Linked DNA regions of Arabidopsis thaliana. The protein of the gene in region 2 purifies or fractionates together with the protein of the main gene of each other region. This does not show direct contact. Each region holds a gene or a part of one and is shown on either strand. Other genes may lie near its edges. The genes, in order: AT5G15400 and SNC1.

Region 1 (7,995 bases), on a different chromosome or scaffold from region 2:
CTCCTCCTAATTTTGAAACCGTTGTCTTATTCTCTCGCTGTTTTGCGTGTTATAGGCTTCGAATGACGCCTATAAAAACTCTTTCGAACTCTTTTTTTGGTACGACGCTTGCTTCATGTACAACTCTTAAATTCTATAAAAGACATCCTTCTGTCGAACGTATTGCCTTTTCAATCGAGTGAGTGGTGTTGATTTCACCATTCTTCTGCATCGACCTCACGCCATCAAAGATTAAGTTAGAAATTTCGCCTTTCAAGAATTGGTCACTCATAACTCTTATGCCAACTAGTAATCCATGAACAAACGTCGAAATGCATAGAAACTCGTGAACACATCGAACTTATGATAGAAACAGTTCTAGACATGATATTTATAAGTTTTTTTCCCGTGGCATCAAATAAGTGGAAAGCAAGCCCTAAAATAGATAGATAAATCCTAATAGAAAAGAAAGCCTAGCAAAAGTAAAAAAAAAAAGTCCTGAATAATTGTTATTATTTTGTTACTTTTGGAACACATAATTAATCAATTAACATATCACTGTTTGTAGTCTGTATCCTTTCCTTGTTGCTGCTATCTTCTCCACTTGTCCGTTTCTTAGACTGATGCGACTTCACAAACTCATCGATTTTCGCCTTCAACTCGATGTCCGGTATCAACATATCCGATGTCAAATGTGCTCGGTTAAATGGATCATGCTGCAGCAAAAGTAAGAGGATCATATACAAAGCCAAAATCTTCAGAGAAAGAGAGATGTGACTGATCAGTGATCATCATTGTGTTAGATAAGCTTACATTGTCGCTGAGAAGATGACGTTGAATGATGGGACGATCAACTGTGATTCTTGAGCTTGGAAGTATTACTGGATCTCTCATTAGCGTGTACTGCCAAAAAAGAAAAGGAAAAGAAAAAAACAAGAACAGACATTAGTGCATGGTAATAAGACAAGATTTAGGTTTAAATTAGTGTTTCTTTCAACAGATAAAGACCTGAATTGGGTCAAGGAACTCGTCTGGTATTTCCCCAAGTGCAGCTTCAGCATCCAGAGCTTCAGAAGCAGCAGCTTTGGCTTTTGTGCCTAACTCCATAAACTCTTGAATGATTCTTCCCTCTTCACCTATTCTCCTAAGCACATCTGCTCCTGCATTGAATAGCTGCAAAAACGGGCACTTGTTTAGTTCAGTAGAGACGCATCTATTATTATGAAAGAGGATTTGGTTTAGAAAGAAGGATCTGACCTGTTCATTATATGATCGGCCATCACTGGAGATGGCACCAGGGAATATGTTTACTGTGTCTCCTCTTGCGAGATTAACATATATGCGAACGATCTTCAAAGTTCACAATCATATCAGTCAGTTTTTTCTCACATACTTTGATCAGGAGAATTGAGTAATTGTAATCACTACTAACCTGTTTAAGTAACTGTTTTGGACGGAATTCATATTTCTCAGGATCTTTCAGGCTTAAAGATTTACGCTGTGGACCCACGAGTTGTAGCAAGAAGTAGTTAAGCATGTTGGCAACCCTCTCAACCTAAATAAGTGCAAACAAACAAAGAAACTCATCAGTTGGGTAATCATAGGGCAGGTTATCATTTCAGGAATATGGTCAGGTACCATCTCAGGGAGTAGGAAAGGGGCAGTGATCTCCTCGGATGTAAATGCAAGCATAGTCACATCTTCATTTGCCAGCTTCATGTCGATTCTAACAATCTGCAAAGAAAATCAAAGTTCTTTATGGGATCGGGATTCGAGTACGAAACAAGATATAAGAAGTGATAATCCAACTAACATTCTCCTGCGAATGGAAGAGTCTTGTTCTCTCCTGTCTCTCTTGAGTTGGTCTCTGCTCCCACTCTGCAGTATTTGACATGTCTGCCTCGATTTGTTTAATCTCGAGAATTTTGTTTAGACTTTCATCCAGAAGATAGATGCTATCATTGACTAAGAAGTTTAAGAAGTTCAAGTACACGCCCTTCTCTTCGTCTTTTGCAATCTGTAACACATCAAATTTGGAAAAACATTGGAACATGATAGTTGAAGTTCAAAGTCATGGCAAGCTCACTAAGAATTTACCCGTCTCCATGCATTTCGGTGACTAGGCACCTGCCAGAGATACTCTAAAAGCTCGGCAATGTTGTGGCGAATATTGAACTTGTCATAGAACTGCATTTGGATAACTAGATTTCAGTTCCAATAAAAGCAAGAACAAATGGCTATTCTGGCTTCCAGAGCTAACATATTCTCAAGTACAATGCAATAGAGAGAAGTTCATTACTCCAGGAATATTATAGCCACTAAACAAAATCTCTTGCAATCACCTGAGTGTGTGAACCCGTGAACTCAATGTCAACATATAGTTTCAGTAAATTCCTGACAAGATACTCGAGCGATAACTGATGTCCCTCAAAGAGAGTAGATGTAGCAGAAGAAGAACTACTGCAGGAAAAAAAAAAAATTAGAATGGTGGACCACGTTACTGCAGAACTTGTTGCATTAGCAACACAAATTGACAAATGTACAGCTTTCTTTCATGGGAAGAAAAACACCTTGAACGAGGCATCCAGCAGTTCAGAACTTCAACCATCTTTGCTCTGAGATACGGGTTTCTAACATATTCAGGACTTGCCATGAACATAATTATGAAGTTCATAAAGTCGTCCTTAAGAAAAGAGAACAACCATCATCAGTGCAAATACAAAAAGAGAATTTCTACAGACTGATGAGAGCAAACTAAGCATACCAGCGGCACCCCGTCCAAAGCTTTGGGAATTCTTGAAGCGAATATCAGCAACTCCATTGCATCTTCAACAAAATGCTCAGGCATACAGGAGAATTCCATAGGGCAAGTTGACGGTAGAGGCATCTTAAAGCCACCGACTAGTCCAACTAACCAAACAACCATTAGGCGATAGAAAGACAGAGCTCGCTGAATAAAATCTCCATCCTTCAATACAGTATAGAGATAAGGCAGCTATTACTATCATGTTACCGGTCCAGAGGAAAAGCCGAAGATGTTATCAGAGCAGAGAATATGATTACAAACCCTCAATATTTGGGCCTCATGGCAAAGCTTTTCCTGCGAAGACAGCTCTAGTTCTTTTTCCATTCGGGATATATCAAGTTCCAACTGTGGAGAAGGTGCTTGATCTCTCATGGCTTTTAGCGTTGCAAGATTATCTTCACCTCTCGAGATGTCCTACGTCATGCGGAAAAGAAAAAGTGAAGAACCATACAATAACAATCTTCTGCAAATTCAGGAATCAATGACACTTTCACAATGTAAACATGTGACTAAGTTCAAGTTTTTGCTATAGTCCCTTCTCGTTTTAACTAACAAACGCCTTAATAAGACAATATGTAAGGAACCAAATCAAATAAGAGCTTTCTGCAAGATAATTTATCACAAGTCGTTTTTTTTTCCAAAAAATCTTCAATATTTCCAGGACGGGAAAACTGTGATGATGATTACCTGAGCAAGATGTTTAAAGTCAGAGAGTGCTTTTAGGAGACCCAAATTGAGGACCCTAGCAGTCATAAAGAAGCATTCACAAATGAAAGTGTATTTAGTTGCTGACTTTGCATTTTGCCCAGAAGCATTACTACTAGAACTTGTGGCTTCTTTGGATTGTAACAAGCGACTTTCGTTCCCATTTTCTCGCCCAGCATCATTTGCGTTTGCCATAGCATCTTTGCCAATCCACTCAGTAACTTCTTCGGATGATGCATGGAGAGCGGTCAAGTCGCTGGTGTGGATCATAAATAATATTGCTCATCATGAAACTATTAAAATCAGTGAGGAAATACAAGTAGAATCATCTTGAGGACCATACCTTAATTTTAAGCGATGGCCACAGAATGCGTATTTTGGATCAATCTTATCCCTTTTCGTTAAATGTGGGTCTAAAAATGGTTCACAGAGCCGGAGCATTACTGCACTAAGGTTAACAAACATGCCTGAGCTAGCACAAGAGACTGGATCAACCTGTCATACAAGATAAACATATTACAGAATGCTGATTTGAGCAAAAAAGACAAATACCAACTTGATAAAACCGAGAGGAGACAATAGCAATTCATGAATAAAGATCCGAAGTATATATGCATCTTATAAACGGATGATTACCTGTATATGGGCTCTAGACGCATTTGCATTGATCACCTCTGCAAGAAACTGTAGAACACGCTCACGGGTATCAGTACTTTTAAGTAAAATCATCAATACATCATGCAGCCCGCTGTACAAAATGTTCATGAAATTTTTAATCGTGGAGAAGGATGATAATAAATCTGCGGGACGACGTTCCGATGCTTCAGAGAAACACTGCTGCCTGATATTCACAAAAACAATAGACATATATCAGCATTTTCATAACAGGTAAAGTATATCCTCTGAGGTGGATCAGGAAAACTCTTATGTTCGCACAATTAAGCCTTGTCAAATACTAAATGGACAATCAAGATTCTTCAGTACAGACCAGAAAAAATGCTCAAAATAATGGATTTCATCCACAATATTCTAACTTAACATAGTGCTTACTAATATTTCTGTTGGTTTCGCCTCTACTGATCATCTAACTATGCTAAATTTATATAATCATGCTTAAAATATGTATACAACCTAACAGTGGCATCATATATAAGCCAAATATATCTGCTTTTTTCCTTTTTTGATCAAGTCTCTCTACTATGAGTAAAAGCTAATCAATAATTCTTACTATCCAAACTTTCTCAATAAGAAAAGAGCCCCAAAGACTACATGATTCTCAGTAATAGAAACCCATAAATAAGTTGGAACTCACCCAACATCAGGTTGACTCTTGAATAGTGTATTATCTGGCAGCGCACTAATATGGAAGAAAGGCCCAAGAATGCTAGTCAACTCCATTGCTCGGCCGTTCATATAGGCACCCCGTGGAACCCACCACTCATGACTAACCAGAGATTTAGCTCCTACTGGTAAGCTAACAAGATACTTGAGTGCCCTCAGTGGTGGCTGGAAATCTCCAAGCACTGATACATTTATAACCGTAGACCTCAAATCCTCATACAGCTCCTTTAGAATCGAGTCCAAGCTATCAAAATCCGAGTCTTTGAAAAACTCATCCAAAAACCCAGGAGGAGCTTGAACCCCACTGCTACTAGCTCCAAACATATCCAACGAACCAGAACCAACCTCAGCAAAGATCAACGGAAGAACCGGAGAGACATTCCTCTTCTTCAACCTATTATCCAATCCACCACTAGGTTTATCCGAGTTCCCAAACATGTCAGGATTCCCCAAGTGAATCCTACAGTAAGAAACAGCAAGCTTCTTCGCTTGTTTAGTGACAATCTCCATCTCCGATCTCAGATTCTTATCCTTCATCGACTGGATTTTCTTCGATTCGTCGTAAGCACGACGGTGGCAACCGATTAAATACGGGAAAGGCGGTTCGGCGTCGGAAAAGTCGCCGGAGAGACGATCTATGAGAACTCTCTCCATCAAATCACGAGAAAGCAAAAGCTCTTTACCTTCGCTGAGAATCTCAGCGGCCGTCATCTCCAAGTAAACAATACGAGGATCGGAATCAGTTGATTCCGTTAGGGTTACATAAAATATCTTCCGGAGGATTATATCCTCAATTTCAGCCGGCGATCTTTGAGGTTTGCTCGTCGCCATTGATTTTACGAATCAAATCAAACACTCGAAACTCGATTTGAGAGATAAATATAAGAATTTTTTTTCTTAAACTTGTATTACCGATGAATCAAAAGCGAAAGAGTTTGGACTTAGCAATTTAAAGTATAATTAAATTTAGAAAAACTAAAATTCACGAAAGAAGAGAGAAACCATGGCGAGAGATTTGGAAGAACTTTCTGGGAGTAGGTTTTTGTTTATGAACTCTTTTGGAGTCTCTGAACGAGCTTTAGCAAGTCCTGAGCTTGGACAAAAAGTCTATATAGGATATATGCAAACGTCGTACTTACTAACGACGTCGTTTATACTTATTAAGACAATTACTTTTACTGCTAATAAAAAATAAAAAATAAAAAATTACCAAGATAAACTCCTCCAAGATTTTGTTGCTCAAAAAATCTACTTTGAACTTAACCGTAAGAGGTTGAAGTATCATTCCAAGAAAGATTTTTTAAAGAAGTAAAGGTAAACAATTGAGGAGGAACAATGAACACACAATTATTTGGACCGATATAAAATTGGAACTTTTTATTATTATTCGAGATGATCATGCGGTCGAATGGACATGAACATAGCTGCATACTGAAGTAACCGGCGTTCACTGTTACCTTCAATGCTATTCTCCGACACAGGACTCATCGAACCGCCGATGTTTTCACCACGGGTTCTTTTCCTACGCCGGCGCCACGCCATCTGAATATTTACCGCTGCCCACGTCCTCCAGTTTGAGGAATAGTATCTTGCGGTCCGCTTAAGCCGCTCGTTCGCGAATTTATAACGGAAATGATCGGTAATGTACCTAAGATCTTCGGATCCGAGGGAGAATGCCTCGATGTTTTCTAGGCAGACAAATGTTGCTGAGGAAGGGGGAAGACGGTCCAGAAACGGGCGACGTAGGCACCATGAGAGTAGCTCGTCGCCCAAGTAACCGCCTGGTTCTAGTGTACTAGTGGCTAGGACGCCTTTGCTTAGGCTCTGTATACGTTTGACTCGTCCACGCATGATGAATATCATTCTCTGTACAGGATCTCCTTCACGGATGATCTGTGACAATCAACAAAATCGAAGAACCTCAGATTTTACTCTTCAAGTAAACTCTTAAACCGAAACCGAAGCAAAATATTGGAAATATAAATTTTTAGAAATGATGGGATGAGTACCTTTTCGTCTTTAGAGAAGACTCGAGGCTTAGCCCGATCGCAAATGTTGTCGAGGATCAAGTCGTCCATGCCCCTGAACAATGGCACCTGAGAAAGATCAAACATGTCAGAGACTTAACACTTACTGCTTTCACAAGTCTTAACAAGATTGTATAAAGTCTGCTTCCTAGTACCTTGTTAATGAGATCAAAGCAAAGATATCGTTTGATATCTCTTCGAAGACCCGGAGGCAAATCATGTATAAGTTCTAGCTCGTCTTCACCACCCAAGGCATTCCATCTCTGCCGCTCAAATCGCCTAACCCTCTGTCTTAACCGGGAAGGTAACTGCCTACGTTTCATCCACCATTCCATATCCCTACACCGTATCTGCATTTTCCTTTTTTTCGCCATTACCGCATGCAAAAACACCTTCAAAATATTGTAAAGTAAAAAGCTTTTTAAAATCTTACATTCCATGAAAACACAATATCATAGAAAAGACATATTCTTGCATAGTTTACCTGAATGTTTCCTATCAACAGCGTGAAAAGTAACAAGCCACTTAGAACCATAACTATACTGAAAATAACCTCGAGCCAGTTGCTTGTGGGCTCAAGATCATTCGCAAATGTGCTGTAAAACGCGACCCCCAAAACAGATTCAGTATGTCAATCAGAGAATTTTTTTATATCCAAGATGTAAACCTTAAGCTCAGAAACAAAGCAATTACCTGAGAGTCATTAGGCCCCAGAAGATGGGGTAAAGGATCTTAACCGCAAGAGAGTTGCTGGAGATGACTGGAAGTGCCCAACGGTAGATACCATATCGGAATGGTCCGTTAGAGTCTAAGCACATAGGCTTATTGACCACACTGGTAAGGTTTCCAGATAAGCATGGATATCCAACTGTGCTTGTCGGTGACACAAATTGGTAACAGACCTCTTCTTTGCAAGCCAGACTCAGATTGCAGTTCCCGGTTCTCATACATTGTTGTCTTATGCAAGAAGCAACACGCTGTATTGCGAGAACATACCAACATCCCCCAGCAACCTGAAACCACCAGAATTTCCATAAACAACAAACTTTAATTTCATATCTTAGGACAGACCTTAGTAGTACTATATATATACACATGGGATTTGTTATATTGCATTTGTTTTAGGACCTGAATATA
Region 2 (8,197 bases):
AGATCTTTAACTGTTCAGGGTCAGCAGTGAAAGGTGTCGTCCCCATCAGACCACACGTCTATGTTAGGCCCTTGATGCAAAGATCTGAAGCAAATCAATTCAGTCAAGAACAGCCCCAGAGAATTAGCTTTCCATCCTAGATGTTCTAGTGAGTAGTTCAGGCCTACAACTTTAACTCTTTACGATACAATTAAAGAGTGCAGCGGCATGGGGGAACAGCAGCGACATGTATTCTCATCGACGTAGGATAGCTGGATGATACTTCATGGTTTGGAAGTGGACCAGACAATGTCTCCTGTAGAAAGTTTAAAAGCTCTTTCCTTCACCCGAAGGATTGTTCCTTATGCTGGTTACATCTTTGGCCGAAGTTAGGCCAAAAACGCTTCTGCCTTTTGGCTATTGAATCAGCGGATATGCAAATGTTGCTGATTCTTGTTGTTTTCTGTACCCAAAGTCTGATTTATTCATTGCTAATAAAGAGAAAAACAACCTTTACTAACATAAACCTTGACATCTATGTTTTAAAAAAGGCAAGACTATTTTGGGTAGTACCTGAGTTCAAGTAGGTACGCTCCCAAATTCAATGTGGAAATAGATAGATGTATGGTACAATACAAAACCATGCGAAAGATGTTTTTCCAGAATATGCTAAAGTGTGGCTTTCTGAAACATTTATTCTTTCAGGAAAAGCGAAATGTTCAAAACAAACGCAGAGTTGGATAATGTAATTAATTATCATTATCATTATCATTATAGTCATAGTCGATCCCAAGTTATCCTAAAACAGAGCAAAACAGAATGATAAGATGTTTCAGTTACCAGAAACAGGAAACAAGATAGGAATTCCTTTATCTTGTTCTTCAGTTATCATGTAATCAACACACAAAGCTTCCCCCTCTAGAGATGTTGATGATGATGGTTCTCCCTGCCCTAACGAAAGCTCCATATTTAGAGCGGCCAATCCTGTGTCCGCTACAATTAGGCCATAGGGTAAGTTGATATCTTCTTCAGATGTCCCCGATGTCATCTGCATTATAAATCAAACGATAGATTCTATTAAATAGTCTGTCCCTATGGTATTTCGATCCTGGAAAATCAAATCAAAAGTCAAAAGATACCCGCATCCGCTTCTCGCTTCTCGTAGTCTGTTGGTTGTTCTCTTCTTGAGAGACATACATGAGTCGTACACCGCATTCTTTGATCCTATTGGAGCAACAAAACTTAAACTCCACATCGTTGAAATTCAATTTAGATGGAAGATCTTCAGACCGGAACTTGAAGGAACAGAAAAACAGATGATCCGTCTTACAAAGCTCCAGTTCTGCATCTTTAGAAAATGATTTCTGATACTGTTTGCCATTGAAGCCAACGTTTACCTTCAAGAATGGATAAAAACCCTTGCCCTTGGAGAGAGGTTCAACCACGACGCAAGCCTTAAATCGCAAGAAATTTTGAGAAAGAGAGCTCTGAGGTACAATGACAGTTAGGGAATCTCCATAAGCTCGATACGTGAAATACTTAGGGATTTCTTCACCTGGTAAGGCCACAGGCTTGAAGCATGATCGTAGGATGAGCTCTCGCGCATCTCTATCCAATTTGAAGCAATTACGGAAGCTAAAATGTTCCTGGAGGTATGCAACACGATACAACTTATCCCAGATATATTCAATGTTTTCAGATAATGGTACACAAGAAACGTGGTCTTCCATTGTCGCTACCACAGTTGCATCACTCAACGCCTTGATGACACCTCTACAGTCTGTAAAGTCGGCGAGCTCAAGTCTTGTAAGTCTGAAAATGTTTGGGGAGATGGTTTTCAACCTCTGGCAACAATACATCATAAGTACAGTGAGCCTCGTGAAATCCTCAATGCAGCAGGGAACTTCTTCAATGGCGGTGTTTTGCAGATAGAGACATTCGATTCTAGTTGAAATCAGAGGAAAAGTTCTCAGACTTGAGCAACCACTGAGATCGAGGATCATAAGAGATGACAAGTTGACATCGGTCGGAAGAACCTCCAGCCCTGTGCATTCTTTCATTTCTAACTTCACCAATCTATGAAGATTCCCAATTGTAGAAGGGATTTCTTCAATGGCGGTGTTTTCCAGATAGAGCCATACAATATTAGTTGAAATCAGAGGAAAAGTTCTCAGACTTGAGCAACCACTGAGATCGAGGATCATAAGAGATGACAAGTTGACATCGATCGGAAGAACCTCCAGCCCTGTGCATTCTTTCATTTCAAAGCTCACCAATTTTTGGAGATTTCCTATAGTAGTAGGAAGTGTCACCAAACTTTTGCAATTGTTGAGTTTCAAATTCTTCAGATTAGTGGCCTTTGAAAGATCTGGAATTTCTTCAATGGCGGTGTTTTCCAGATAGAGCCATTTGATACTCTCTGAAATCAGAGGAAAACTTCTCAAACTTGAGCAACCACTGAGATCGAGGGTTTCGAGAGATGACAAGTTGACATCGGTCGGAAGAACCTCCAGCCCTGTGCATTTTTTCATTTCTAACCTCACCAATCTATGAAGATTCCCAATTGTAGAAGGAATTTCTTCAATGGCGGTGTTTTCCAGATAGAGCCATACAATATTAGTTGAAATCAGAGGAAAACTTCTCAAACTTGAGCAACCACTGAGATCGAGGGTTTCGAGAGATGACAAGTTGACATCGGTCGGAAGAACCTCCAGCCCTGTGCATTCTTTCATTTCCAACCTCACCAATCTATGAAGATTCCCAATTGTAGAAGGAAGTGTCACCAAACTTTTGCAGTTGTTGAGTATCAAAGACTCGAGCTTGGTGGCCTTTGAAAGATCTGGAATTTCTGTCAGGTTTTCAGATTCTGACAGATCCATCCCTTCGAGACTTCCAAGCGACTGAAAAAAACATTGGTATGCTTCAATCATTATCGATGATAATCATTTTAATTTTATACTGTATATGTTTAAAATTATAATTAAACATTATTATAAGACATAACCGTGGTAAGACATAACCGTGGATCACAAGCCATAATAACAAATTTGGGTATAGTTAATTAGTTATATAACAGAAGGTAAACAAAAATCAGCATAGCATTAACAATGTACCTGGATGCCTTCCCATAGCTTCTCATGCTTGTAGCCCCTCACATTGAGAAAAGCGAGTTGTTCTGGGCGAAATTCACAAGGCATACATCTCGTAAGGCAGTCGAGATAATCTAGTCCAGCAGGGAGATTCTTGTTCCAGAAACAATCTTCTACCACGATCTCATTTCTCCCTTCCGGAAAGTCAACGTCTGAACATCCCATTTTGATTGCTGGAAAGTTTCTCAAATTCGGGCATCCAGTGAGATTGAGGTACTCGAGAGATTCCAAGTTGAGATCGGTTGGAAAACTCTCTAGCTTTTTGCAATCACTCATATCTAAATAGATCAGTTTAGTGGCATTCTGAATCGAGGAAGGAAGTGTCACCAAAGATTTGCATCCAACAAGATCTAATTCCTCGAGGTTTATGGCTAAAGAAAGATCTGGAATTTCTTTCAAATTGTTGGAATACCTCAAATTCATCTCCTTGAGACTTCCAAGGGGCTGAAAACAAAATATGGAAAAAGAGAATACACACGTTCACAAATATACCACAGTTCTGTTCTAAAAACTGACAACTAATAAAATTTAGAATTCGTACCAGAGTTCCTTCCCACAGTTTCTCAAGCTTACTATACTTCATTATGAGGTTAACTAGATATTCCGCCTTAAAAGTAGATGGCAAAGACTTCAATGGACAATCATCCCAGTCTAGCAATCTGAGTTTAAGGGGCAAATAAACGAGGCTCTGAGGTAGATCCCCGTAATAACCAATTTCTAGATATTGCAGATTACGCATGCCTTTGAACGATTCTTTATCTATTAATAACGGCCTTGTCGAAAAATATTCCTCGAATGGCAAACGTATTCCAAGAAGAGTTTCTGTCCCCTGAAAAAAAATCCGAAGAAAACTAATATAATCTTAACAATCGCAACCCTTTTTAATTTTCTGACACATCAAAGCTACATTTTAATTACGCATGAGGCAACAATTGCTTAAGTTTATCAATCCCCAAATTACGATTATATTAATATAAAGTCATGCATTCAAACGGAGCTGCGAAAAAAACTTACAGTTTTCTCGGTCACTACTTCATGAATATCTTCAAAATTCGTCAGAAATCGACGTTTTCCAGGATTACCCTTGGACTTTGCACGATCAATTTCTCTACCCAATTTCTCTAGCAAATTGTGCATCTCTATATATCCATCCGGTGTAATACGTATGAGGGACTTCTCAGTCAACATTGTAAACCCAACATTATCTTTAAGTAAATCTTTGACGTAACTGACTTCAAAACCATTGAATAAACACGCGATGTAAAGGAACATATCTTGATCTTTTTGATGTAATCTATCGTAGCTGACTCTTAATGTTTTCATAATATCTCCGTTCAAACCATTTCGGAGCCTAGGCATCATCTCCATCCACCATTCTTTGGTCCTTCCCTTTAAAGACGAACCAAGGACACTAAGACCCAACGGAAGATTACCGGCAAGCTTCGCAACTTCAAATGCTAGTTCCTTAAAATCATCAGGTGGAGAGTCTTTCCCAAAAGCAGATCGGCATAACATCGTAAGAGCAAGATGTTCAGATGGGAACTCCACCTCATATATAAGGTCAATCTCATGAGCCTTGAGAAGTTGCCTATCTTGAGTGATCACAATTATTCTGCTTCCAGATCCAAACCATTCAGCTTTTCCCACCAAGGTCTTAAGAAACTCTAGACTATCCACATCATCAAGAAGGATAAGAACTTTCTGTTGCTTTAACCTTTGCTCCACCACACCAAAATGCTCTATCTTTATGTCCTTTTGACCTAAGATTTCCGAGAGAAGTTCTTTTTCCCACCTCAACTTCATGCCAGAGACGTCACTACCGCTGGTGCTTTTATATGTTATGAAAGCGCGATGGTGGAACTGGATAGAGAGTTTACTGTAAAGAGCTCTTCCTATGGTACTCTTACCAATCCCTGATTGTCCCCAAATCCCGACCATTATTCTAGCTTCCTTGGATTCCAAGCACAATACTGATTTTATTGCCTCTATATGATTTTCAATTCCGACTAAGTCGCCAAAATCATCCGATGGTGTCATAGTTTTTCTCAAAACATCCTCGGCAAGCTCTTCAATCATGGCTGCTTCACTAGGCCTAATAACAATAGTCAACTGTTTCATTAAAGAAGCAACGCAAAACAAAAAAATCACGAAGTCTATTCATTGAAATACCATTTCCGAAGATCATATCCGGCCATAACTGCAACAGCTGCTAGAGCTTGCTTCCAACTTTGTTTCTCATCCTCTGATTTAGCCTTGCATGTCTCTTCAAAGACCTTTCCAAATTCGCCGGTCTGTTTTTTAACTTCCGAAGCATCAACGTGGAAGAAAATCGGAATCACCATTTGATTCAAATTCGTATAACACTTGTGAATCTCCACCAATTCATTCAGGCACCAGGTGGATGAAGCATAGTTCTTAGAGAAGATAACGATTGCTATTCTCGATTCTTTTATTGCCGATAAAAGCTCCGGGCCGATTGAGCGGCTCCTCTCGATCTCATCATCTATGAATGTGATTGCTTTGCCCCTGAGCTCCTTGAGAAGATGGCTGAGGAATGAGTCACGGACATCTTCTCCACGAAAGCTTGGGAAAACGTCGTATCTCCGGCTGCCAGAAGAAGAAGCTATCTCCATATCATCATCTTTGGATGTATCCATCATTTCACGGTCGAGCTCGAGCTCCTTGACAAGATGGCCACGAAACAATTTGCCGAAATTTTCTCCACTGAAGCTCGCGAAAACATTGTATATCCATCTGAGAACATTGTATATCTATCTGAAGCAAGAAGACGCCATGGCAGAGGATGAGAGAGAAGAGACGAAATTTCTCAAAGGAAAACTCTTTGAAGTATATCAATAATACAACACAGTAACAGAGAGGAGAAACTTGGTCTTCCTTTCCTCGAAGACTTGTATAGAAGACTTACTATACAAGATATTGTTTTAGTGGTTAAAATCAAATCCCATTACAAGACAATTGGGACAAATAATACGTAAACTTGGTCTTCCTTTCTTAGAAGACTTGCATAGAAGACTTACTGTACAAGATATTTTTTTAGTGGTTGAAAAATCAAATCCCTAACAAGATAAGGCCATAATTATGTGATACAGAAACTTCCCCTTCCTTTCCTTGGAAAGCTTCTACTCTATAACGATAAGTCAATTTTGTGGCTATCAGTCGTCACTGAATTTATCTATGATGATGAGACGTAGCCATTCTACAAGATTTCAAGATAATTTCTAGGCAAAATAGACAGAAACTTCCTCGAGAGCTACTTTTCCTCTCCACAGATATTTTTGAAGACCCAAAATTTTGTGGCTGTCAGTGGTTCAAGACAGAAACAAGATTTCAATTTATTTTAACAATGTTAAGGTTCACTAATATCAAAAGTCTGGTTTTCCTATTCATACTGTACATACATGCATGGAAATTAGGAGAATAATTAGTATATCGATTATGAGGATTATAATTCAACTAATAATACAGTGAAAACACTAACAACAAACTATCTAGTTTTCTAGAGCTGTGTGGTGTGGACAGTGGAGAGAATATTTTCATGTAAAGTTTTCTTGTTTACATTTACAATTGTAATATTAGTTTAGAGTTTTGGCTTACTGTGTCAGCAACCACTGTAGGCTGCGATTGCATTTGCTGCCGTTTAAGGAGCATTTGGTTTCTAAGGGTAGGTTTCATGTACTGGATGGAAGAAGTCGTGCTTGAGAGCATCCTCTGCACTGATTCGCCGTCTCGGGTTAACGGTCAAACATCTATCAACGAGGTCAAGGAGCGACCATGGAATTGCATCTAGAAACTCCATGCGTTTTGGGTTGAGTTCGTACCATTTTCTCAACTCCATCCCTTTCAAGTACCTTGACTTGTACAATTCCTGAAACAACAACACAAAAATCAACCTGAACTCATCTCTCACGATCATCTATCTAATAATTTTGTCGGTAATTTACATTTTTAAGATATATAATGTTTTGGAACACAAAATGCTAACAATGAAAACCCTTTTGTGATATTTGAATCCAAATGCTGGCGGCAAAGAAGAACAGAACATGTATGTTATGTTCACACCAATGCAGTAATCAAATGAATGGAGAGTTTACAAGGGATGAAAGATGAGATTTTACCTCATGTAAAGAGGATTCACGGTTGTGCAGCTTGGCTACTTCCCATAATTCTTCACTGCCTCGTAGTTGCGCAATGTCCTTTATGTTCCTGGGAATGACAAGGTCGTTGTAAGACGGCAAGAAAGAAGAAAAAAGTGGAACCGAGTGATGGTGTATTCAGTCAAGTCAGATCTTAACTGTTCAGGGTCACCAGTGAGAGCTTTCCTTCCCATTATGAGGTATAACAAAGTAACTCCCGCAGAACACACGTCTTTTTTTAGGTCCTTGGTCCAAAGACCATTCAGCCGAGAACAGCCCTAGAGAATTAGCTTTTCCATCCCATCCTAGATGTGTTAATGAGTAGCTCAGGGAACAAGATATTTTCATATGGATTTAACTAGTATCAAGGGAAGTGATATATCTGCAGGAAAAATGGCTTGTGTCAAAACATATGAAATCGTCTTGCCATTATCATTATAGTCATGCTCGGTCCCAAGTTATCCTAAAACAGAGGAAAACCGAATAATAAGATGCTTCAGTTACCAGAACCAGAATTCAAGATAGGAATTTCTTCATCTTGTTGTTCACTTATCATGGAATCAACACACAAAGATTCCCCCTCCAGAGATGGATAAGAAGAAACTGATGATGCTTCTCCCTGCCCTAACGAAAGCTCCATATTTAGAGCGGTCAAGCTTGTGTCCGCTACAATTTGGACACAGGGTAAGTTGATATATTCTTCAGATGTTCCCGATGTCATCTGCATCGTAAACCAAAGGATCGATTCTGTTAAATAGTCTGTCACTAAGGTATTGATCCTGGAAAATATAATAAAACATCAAGAGATAGCTTTGCAATTTTCAGTTCTAATTATGTCAAAAGGCTTACCCGCATCCGCTTATTGCTTCTCGCAGTCTCTACAACATCACATTTTTCTCGAGACTGTTGGCTGTA

What was found.
Region 1: the proteins of SNC1 (region 2) and AT5G15400 purify together in Arabidopsis thaliana (affinity purification with western blotting, with the first as the bait; one study listed by BioGRID). This does not show direct contact.

Annotation. Positions count from the first base shown.
Region 1 is NC_003076.8:4,997,246-5,005,240, forward strand, and holds AT5G15400 (U-box domain-containing protein), read right to left. Parts: upstream 6,009-7,995; 5' UTR 5,663-6,008; coding exon 4,803-5,662; intron 4,332-4,802; coding exon 4,127-4,331; intron 3,986-4,126; coding exon 3,834-3,985; intron 3,747-3,833; coding exon 3,473-3,746; intron 3,200-3,472; coding exon 3,047-3,199; intron 2,948-3,046; coding exon 2,744-2,947; intron 2,663-2,743; coding exon 2,550-2,662; intron 2,440-2,549; coding exon 2,322-2,439; intron 2,167-2,321; coding exon 2,077-2,166; intron 1,997-2,076; coding exon 1,793-1,996; intron 1,714-1,792; coding exon 1,618-1,713; intron 1,535-1,617; coding exon 1,412-1,534; intron 1,330-1,411; coding exon 1,237-1,329; intron 1,153-1,236; coding exon 988-1,152; intron 883-987; coding exon 793-882; intron 696-792; coding exon 519-695; 3' UTR 244-518; downstream 1-243. Other genes in the region: AT5G15390 (tRNA/rRNA methyltransferase (SpoU) family protein), read left to right, coding at 1-10; DND1 (Cyclic nucleotide-regulated ion channel family protein), read right to left, coding at 6,215-6,724, 6,841-6,927, 7,014-7,250, 7,343-7,454, 7,552-7,871. UniProt on the Arabidopsis thaliana protein: Ubiquitin-protein ligase that may function as an E3 ligase in conjunction with specific E1 and E2 ligases. May also function as an E4 ligase mediating the assembly of polyubiquitin chain assembly on substrates monoubiquitinated by another E3 ubiquitin ligase.
Region 2 is NC_003075.7:9,499,695-9,507,891, forward strand, and holds SNC1 (TIR-NBS-LRR class disease resistance protein), read right to left. Parts: upstream 6,137-8,197; 5' UTR 5,789-6,136; coding exon 5,298-5,788; exon of another isoform or gene 5,247-5,297; coding exon of another isoform or gene 5,221-5,246; coding exon 4,143-5,220; intron 3,958-4,142; coding exon 3,670-3,957; intron 3,573-3,669; coding exon 3,093-3,572; intron 2,880-3,092; coding exon 1,119-2,879; intron 1,028-1,118; coding exon 812-1,027; 3' UTR 577-811; downstream 1-576. UniProt on the Arabidopsis thaliana protein: Disease resistance protein of the TIR-NB-LRR-type. Part of the RPP5 locus that contains a cluster of several paralogous disease resistance (R) genes.